Linked DNA regions of Daphnia pulex. The protein of the gene in region 2 purifies or fractionates together with the protein of the main gene of each other region. This does not show direct contact. Links are inferred from orthologs where the notes say so. Each region holds a gene or a part of one and is shown on either strand. Other genes may lie near its edges.

Region 1 (4,194 bases), on a different chromosome or scaffold from region 2:
CGGCTGGATCAGCAAAATGAAGAAACGCAATAAAGAATCGTACCACAAACCAGCTAAAGTCAATTCGTTTGCCGGAGAAACGACTGGTAACGACAGTGCCAAGGTAAAACTAAAATCAAGTCTTTTATTTTCAAGTAACAATTGGTCTTTTAATGCTTTTTTCCTCTTTCGTAGGTCGTCAAAACTGGCAAAATAGTAAAAAGAAATAAGGAGGAGCAGCGGAAGAAAATAATTGCCGCCAAATTGGCTTTCGTTAACAAAAAGAAGTAATCAGAATAATAATAAAAAACGAAGTTTTTCCTCTTCTCGAATTATTGGCTTTTATTAGTTTTCAATTCGTGAATCTTTTTCTGCACCTCGACGGGAAAATGTTGCACGTTTTTGTTGGCGCATTCGCCACAAAATCGTTTAGAATAAAACAGGCTGCAATTGGCGCAAACTAGTCGTTGGCATGCTGAGCAGGGAGCTCCAAGGAAGAAATAGAGATTTTGGGCGTATGGAACAAATGGATCTCGCATGACGTATGCGTCCTCGTTGAAGTTTATTCCGCGGGCGAAAGGAAGACTTGTGCCGTGACCGTGGTAACGCTCTGACCAGCCGCACAAGGCACACTGAAATTGACCACCTTCTTCGATTTGTTCTGCTTTCTTTTCTTCCTTGGGTTTCACGATTTCACCAAGTTCTTCAGTCGGTTCCTGCTTCACCACTGGATCAATCCTGTCCATCTAAGGATAAGTGAAAAATCAAAAGTGGAACAGAGAAAAACATTGTATTGTAACAAATTGAAATGCCAAACACATGTAAAATGTATCTATTGTGGGGGTAGTCTTTTTATTTTAAGAGCTAGATTCAAGTTGGGCGCGATCTTTGGGCGCTTCAATGGGCCACCAAGCCGGTCGGTGGGTTTCGATTAGATTCGAGTCGATTTTCAATTGAGAAGAAGAGAGGGCTTGTTGTATCCGCAAGAGGCCGAGACCGTAAACTGATCCGTGAAGATATCCTCGTAGTTTTCCCACCCGTTGTCCGTTTTCATCAGAAATGGTCGATTCTAACTGGATGGAATCGGAAGGCTGTTGGAAGACAACCGGCATCAAACGTTTTCTGGTTACACCCGTGTGGTAAGTCCTGGCCGTAAGTTCCTGTCCCAAGTAGCACCCTTTATGGAAGCTGACGCCGTGCAGGTAGTCGCAATTACATTCGAGTGGGAAACATGTGCCGGGTGGCATATCTCGAGAGCCTTCTCCCACACCAAGTTTATATCTGAGTTCAGTGTATCGATCAGTGTTGTCCACGCAGAGATTCTTTATTAGGTGACTTAGACTTTTGTTGGAATCAACCAACACTCGCCATCCCAGTTCCTTGACTCTGGGATCTCGGGCTAAAATGACTTCATTACTGAGATCTTCGGGGGGCTGATCAAAGAGAACCCAAGGCTTCAGTGTTTCCTCTACAGAGATAACCACCTTCCTTCTGACTCTGAACATGGTGAGGTGTTTTGCTAGAGATTCCGAGCACTCTGCATCACATTCAATCAGGTAGCTGCCAGATTCTTTTGAAGAGTGGATGATGGCATCGTAAAGTATTCTTCCCTGCCGGTTGAGGAACATGCAGTACATGTTGGGATTGTTATCTTCGTCCAAGTGTTTGATATCGTTTGTCATAAGACCCTGAAGGTACGGACCGGCATCCACTCCAGAAACTTTGACGATTGCCCTTCCTTTGAGTTCCTGTGCGTTTACTGTGCATTTCTGGTGAACGCGTCGAACCGAACTAGCGGCCACCGATCTCAGAGCAACTGCTTGAATAGACCGCCACATGGACGAAACTTTTGGTAGAAGGGGAGTTAAAATTGTTATCGTACCTTGCAGAGAGAGATTGAGCTCGATTGTTGAGCAAGTCGTGGTCGATTCGATTTGTTTACAACTAAAATGTAGGAACTCCAGCGCCATCTGACGGTGCTTGAAAATGTTAGAAAATCTCCTAATCTAGTCGATCTAGTCCAAGGTTTTTTATTTTTGTTTATCAGGAGATCGAGATTGCTTTCATCAGTGCGATATTGAGATTATAATGGAATGGAATTCAAGGCAGTAAGTATGAATGTAAGCTCTCAACAAACTATTATATTATTTTGATTCACTTTTTTTTACGTTTCGTGATCGATTAAAAGTTTGAATCGATTGTTTAGATCTGGAAGTGGGATTTTAGGGTACCAAGGCGTTAGTTACACGACTCTCTCATACCGAGTCTGGATGAAACGTCGACTTGGTCTTACGGCCATCTGTTTATATTCCAACACTATTCACACACAAGGGTTGATTCGCCCCCTGAATAAGTGATCACCTCGACTGCGTCAAGATGTCAACTAGTGATTGAACAATTTTGGAACTGTTCATTCTGTCTGAAAAAGCCATCGAACTATTTGAGTGTGTGTGTGTGTGTTTGGTGTTGGAAAGGAGAAAAGAGTTGTGTGTGTGTGTGGGTTGCCCCGTTTGTGTTGCCCATGTTTGGTCACGGACGGGCATCGCCTCTCTCTTGGAAATTATTGTTTGGTGCTCTAAGCTACAGGTGCTCTGCTGCTGCCTTGTGAGAGAGAGAGAGAAGAAAAATTCAAGATGATTGCCGACGGACATTTGGTCGGTGACGGGAGCTGGGAATTGAAGGTGTTGGTGACTGACTTGTCGGTCGAGCGATGTCTCCGGGTCAAAGGTGACCTGCACATTGGTGGTGTTATGCTGCGTCTCGTCGAGGAATTAGGTATGCAATTATTTGTTGTCCTTGTTTGCCCATATTTGGGGATTCAACTGCGAGGCTGACATCATCACGCCCCAATTTCCCAGGCGTCTGTTTGCTTGCATTTAAAAGACATTATGGGGGGAGCCATCTTGTCCACATCTGAAATGAGTTCTTGGTCGCCCACTAGCAGCTACTAGTGCTCCCTCTGTCGGCCCAGTCTAGCGCAGACAGGAAAGAAAAAAGGCGGCATTTAAAAATAGCCTCCCCTCGCGTCACTCTCTCTTACAATGGATCTCTCTTGAAAAATAAAATAAAAACCCCTCTGAATATAAATATATTAAAAAATCAAATAAAATCCGACAAGTCCTAGAAAGGTTGCACTCCTCTCTCTTTGATTCCGCCGTTGGCAAAGGCTATAAGCGAAATAGGGCGGGCGATTGGAATGCACAGTCTGGTGATCGGTATTCTCATCACGTCAAGGATCACTTGAATGTTTATTTTTGAAAAAAAGTTAGTTTGTTGGAAACACCGTCAGCAGCTTGTGTTATGTGCACATATCGCGGTTCGGCGTAACATCCGGATGATTTTACCCAACCACAAACGTCTCTGATTTCAGAAACGAAATTATTCAGGACGACGCCCTTTTTTTGGCCACCATGACCCATTTCATTTCCGCCCCATATACACCACCACCACCACCCACCTGAATGTGTGTGTAATTTCACGCCCAACATCACGTGATCACAGTGATGGATGTTTTGGAATAATCAAAATTTATGACCCCCCACCAGTCTATTTTATATTCACATTTTGTTACATCTTATCTTCTTTTCGTATTTTTAGATATTGCGGCGGATTGGTCGGATCACGCTCTTTGGTGGCCAGCTCGGAACTGTTGGCTGTCCAGGACCCGTTCGACGCTGGATCAGTATGGCGTCCAGGCGGATGCTCTGCTGCATTTCACTCCCATGCACAAAACGCTGCGCGTCCAGCTGCCAGATTTGCGCTACTTGGATTGCCGGGTGGATTTCAGCGTCAAGACGTTCAACGCCGTCGTGACGCTGTGCAAGGAGCTCGGCATCCGGCATCCGGAGGAGCTGTCGTTCGCCAAGCCGCTCGAGTCTGACGATTTGCGCTACAATTATCGCGAACGCGAGTCCAACACGTCGCACAAGAAGCGGACGGTGGCCAACAATTCGGCCGACACCAACACGTTCATCGGTCACCACGGCAATTCGACTCACAGTTCCAACAACAGTTTGGACAACATTAAGGCCACCTCCGGATGTACGCCCGTCCTGCCCAACACGACCATCAATCGGTCCCCGGCTCCCGTACCCACGCCCATCAGCTCACCAGTTAATGTGAGTTGTTGTTGCCATGTATATTTTTTCACGTTTTTTGTCTTCATAATAATAATACTAATCATCATTATTTTCTCATCCATCAGTCGGGCACGTG
Region 2 (4,094 bases):
TGACGACGAAAGAGATGATGCAAAATACTATAAGTAAATTTTGTCCTCCATCTCATTTTCTTTATTGAATCAGCCTAATGTTTCTTTCTTGGAATTGCGCAGAGGCCGTGAAATGGAGCGCCGGCGAACAGAGCGTGAGAGAGAAACGGAATCAGACACACGTGACCGTCAAAAGGAGAAGGAAGAGCTCGAGGAACTCAAGACGAAAATTTTCTCTGAGGGCCACTCAGATCCAACAGCAACTCTTAAACAGGTAAGAGAGGGAAAGCTCAAAGTTTCACGAATGTATGATGTAAAACCTCTTCTGAATTTTCCTAGGCTCTTTACGAAAGGGAACAACAGTACAAGCCTCAGATACTCGTGCCAGCACCTCCTGTTAGTGATGCTCCCCGCTCTTTCTCTCCCATGGACGTGTCTCTACCATCACAACCATCGGACGTGGAAGATTTCCAGTTGACGAAAGATGTCAATTCCACCACGCCCGTCTCATCAGCTCCATCCACTCCAACCGGACCAGAACCTAAAACAATTAGCTCTAGTGTTGCGAGCAGTGTCATTGCCATGGAAGAGGATTCCATGTCAACAACGAATTCCTTAAGTCCTCTTCCAACTGAAAGTGACAGCAAACAAGGTACGATAATTGGCCATCGATTGCCCAACCAACATATGTATAACTAATTGTTTCTCTTTCTGTATTACAGGATCACAGGGACCCAGTTTAGTATTCAATAAGCGGAAAAAGCTGGAAATCAAAGCCGTTTTCAATGCTGATGAAGACGATACAGACACGACCAAGAAGAAACGGAAACTTGTACCTCTTGGTAACATAATCAGATATTTTCTTTTCCGTAACATTTCTGTTTTAATTAATTTCTTTTCCAATAGACTATGGCGATGAACTTGCTAAAAAGGAAAAAGAGCCCAAGAACACAGAGGAGAAGAGAAAAAATATCAAGAGTCTTATCGAGAAAATTCCAACGGATAAAGCATCCCTCTTTGCTCATCCTGTTGAGTGGAGCTTAGTGGACAATGTAAACAATGAACAAGTACGCGTTGTCGAATAACCACTTAAATTCTTGTTTTATTTTCTCCATAGGTGATAATGGAGCGGCGGATTAAACCGTGGGTCAATAAAAAGATCGTGGAGTACATCGGAGAGCCCGAGCCTACTCTAGTTGAATTCATTTGTTCCAAAGTATTGATAGGAAGCCAACCACAAAATATCATCAATGATGTTCAGATGGTAAGGTCTTAATTTCTATAAATTCTAAAATGTAATTCCTATTTTAACAATTTTATTTTTATTAGGTACTTGATGAAGAAGCAGAGGTCTTTGTTGTCAAGATGTGGCGCTTATTGATCTATGAATTAGAAGCAAAGAAATTGGGTCTCATGACTAAGTGAAAAGGGGTGATTGCATTGGGTCTCTATTTTGCAATTGGTTGTTGTTACATTCACCCCATATTATGTACAACTAATTACACAGCAATTTGACAAAAACACTGCTTTGAATAGATTTTTAAATCAAACTTTGAGAGAAAATGAAGCACCACATGAACAACCACTTTCAGCTTTGGGGTTCTTCAATATGTGGAAGGCAGAGCGGATCAACTCAGACTGGAAATCAATTGTTGCTCCTTCAAGGTATTGCATGGAATCTTTGTCAATAAAGACTCTCGCACCATCTCTTTCAACCACACTGTTTTAATGAAAACTGTCAAAAATTATGTTGATTTAGTTTAGTTTTTAAGTACAAACCAGTCATCTTCATTTGCCGTGGTGTCCAAATTAAACAAGTACTGAAATCCCGAACATCCTCCTCCTTCTACCGATATCCGAAGCGTTTTCTCTGGGGATTTTTTATGCAGTTCCTTCAATCGTTGGACGCACTTATCCGTCATCTTTATAGATCCTTGTACGGTATCCATTTGAACAGCATTGTTTAAAGATGAGAATGCCGAAATATGTGATGGGAATCTGGTTAACCGGTTTACTAATGCCGCATAAAACATTGTTATTGTTTAGCAGAAATATCACGTAACAATACGAAAACGAAACGAATTCAGACGAAAAAAAGCACAACCACAGTTGCATTTTACTTTTATTTTGAAAAACTCGTCATAAAATTCTTAATTCCCGGTTTATTCATACACGAAGATAAAATAACGTTTTTAATTCTAAAATTTTAATTTAAAATTTTGAAGGAGAGTTTTTATATTGTTTTTAAAGTTAACCAGCAAAGTCAAATTTCATTCGCAACTAACATCAAGATCAGCCGAAGTCGAACAGAAAAATCATGGCTGCTCTACGTCTCTCCCTAGGCTCTTCGAAGCAAATTGCAAAAGTATTTCGTGGCAATTTCAGAGTTTCGGCTTGTTTCAAACATCAGGTTATACATGTTTATATAAGAGTAAATAATAAAATAAAAATGTGTCAATGAAGTTCCTTGTACCTTGGATGATTTTGCCACATCCTGTTGGTTACTTTCATCTTACAATTAATTTAATGATATTTCTTCTTATTTGTTTTTTATCTCAGGAAACATGTGAAATTGGTATTCAAGAGCCTAGCTACCTGTCCATCCAACAGCGAAATGATGTGAGGTGCCAATGGAATCCAATCACAGTTTTCAGTCGAGGATTCAGAACTTCTGCAGTACTAGGTGAAATTCACTAGTTCCAAATGGCAATAAATAGTCATAATAATAAAAAAATACTTTTTTTAGGAGATGCGAAAACTGTGATGGTACCACCATTTGCAGACTCCATCAGTGAGGGTGATGTAAGATGGGATAAAGGTATGCTTCTTCCAGAGAGTATTGGTACAACTGTATTAGTAGCACAGAAATGATCTTTGAGTGAAAATGTCAATCTTGAAGCTTAATTTCAGTATTTTCAAGTCAAAGATTTCAAATCATTTTGCGTCCTTTTTTTTCAACTTGATAGACTTGCACCTGTGGATCTTATGGTGTTTTTCATAGAATGTTTTTGTTTTCTTTAGCTGTTGGTGATACAGTCCAAGAAGATGAAGAAGTATGCCATATTGAAACGGACAAAACATCGATCCCGGTTAAAGCCCCTTGCAGTGGGGTCATTACTGAGTTGTGCGTTAGTGATGGTGCTACTGTTCAACCCGGAGCTAAACTCTTTATTATGAGTGCAGGTAACTATTATGCTACCAGAAAATTTCTACATTTTTAAAATAAATTTAAACCGTTTCTTAATCTAGGAGGTGCTGCCAAAGCTGCTGCTCCCGCTGCTGCTGCTGCTGCTGCTCCTCCAACACCTTCACCAGCTGCTCCTGCTCCTCCACCGCCTACCCCTGCCGCCCAACCTGTTTCTGGTGCGATCCCATCAACACCTCCTCCTCGCCCATCCCCTCCAACAACCCCTATTTCTGCCATCCCAGCAGCAAGCATCCAACCTCGGGTTGCTGCTCCTGTTAACGTTACGCAGACGTCCCAAGTACGAATTAAATGTCATTCCCCCATCATTTTAACCTTTTTCTTAATTTTTTCTTATCTCTAGGCTGTTCCCCTAGCCCGTCTTCCACCTGCAGATTATAGCAAGGAAATTACTGGCACAAGAACCGAACAACGCGTTAAAATGAACCGCATGCGACTGCGTATTGCTCAGCGGCTGAAGGAAGCCCAAAATGTCAACGCTATGTTGACAACTTTTAACGAAATTGATATGAGGTAGTATGCCATTGTCTCTTGATGCCATAGGTGGATTAACGTATTTCGTTTAAATTCACAGCAACATCATGGAGCTGAGAAAAACACACGGTGACGCCTTCTTGAAAGTTCACAAAATCAAGTTGGGTTTCATGTCAGCTTTCGTCAAGGCCGCGGCTTGCGCCCTTGCTGATCAACCTACTGTCAATGCCGTCATCGACGGAAATGAAATCGTCTATCGCGATTACATCGACATATCTGTGGCGGTTGCCACACCAAAAGTAATTCTGCTACAGTTTAGCATTAAGAGTTAAATTATTAATAAATTTTTTTGTTTTAAATTTGAAGGGTTTGGTGGTGCCTGTTCTACGTAATCTAGATTCTATGAACTATGCTGACATTGAAAAGGCTATTGCCG

The links. Proteins that work in one complex are often made in the same cells at the same time.
Region 1: the proteins of iron-sulfur cluster assembly 2 homolog, mitochondrial-like (region 2) and putative transferase CAF17 homolog, mitochondrial purify together in Homo sapiens (co-immunoprecipitation; 4 studies listed by BioGRID and IntAct, with this or other methods). This does not show direct contact. The link is inferred for Daphnia pulex from reciprocal best matches to the Homo sapiens genes ISCA2 and IBA57.

Annotation. Positions count from the first base shown.
Region 1 is NC_060028.1:2,206,915-2,211,108, reverse strand, and holds putative transferase CAF17 homolog, mitochondrial, read right to left. Parts: upstream 1,950-4,194; coding exon 837-1,949; 3' UTR 754-836; downstream 1-753. Other genes in the region: RNA-binding protein 34-like, read left to right, coding at 1-103, 175-270; cysteine-rich DPF motif domain-containing protein 1-like, read right to left, coding at 312-725; unc-112-related protein-like, read left to right, coding at 2,613-2,754, 3,577-4,097, 4,184-4,194. UniProt on the Homo sapiens protein: Mitochondrial protein involved in the maturation of mitochondrial [4Fe-4S]-proteins in the late stage of the iron-sulfur cluster assembly pathway. Operates in cooperation with ISCA2 in the maturation of [4Fe-4S] proteins.
Region 2 is NC_060017.1:2,842,170-2,846,263, forward strand, and holds iron-sulfur cluster assembly 2 homolog, mitochondrial-like, read right to left. Parts: upstream 2,068-4,094; 5' UTR 2,013-2,067; coding exon 1,759-2,012; intron 1,700-1,758; coding exon 1,525-1,699; 3' UTR 1,412-1,524; downstream 1-1,411. Other genes in the region: RNA-binding protein 25-like, read left to right, coding at 1-33, 103-253, 319-631, 702-821, 886-1,031, 1,097-1,243, 1,309-1,404; dihydrolipoyllysine-residue succinyltransferase component of 2-oxoglutarate dehydrogenase complex, mitochondrial-like, read left to right, coding at 2,297-2,389, 2,539-2,662, 2,726-2,797, 3,001-3,162, 3,229-3,464, 3,528-3,697, 3,759-3,957, 4,025-4,094. UniProt on the Homo sapiens protein: Involved in the maturation of mitochondrial 4Fe-4S proteins functioning late in the iron-sulfur cluster assembly pathway. May be involved in the binding of an intermediate of Fe/S cluster assembly.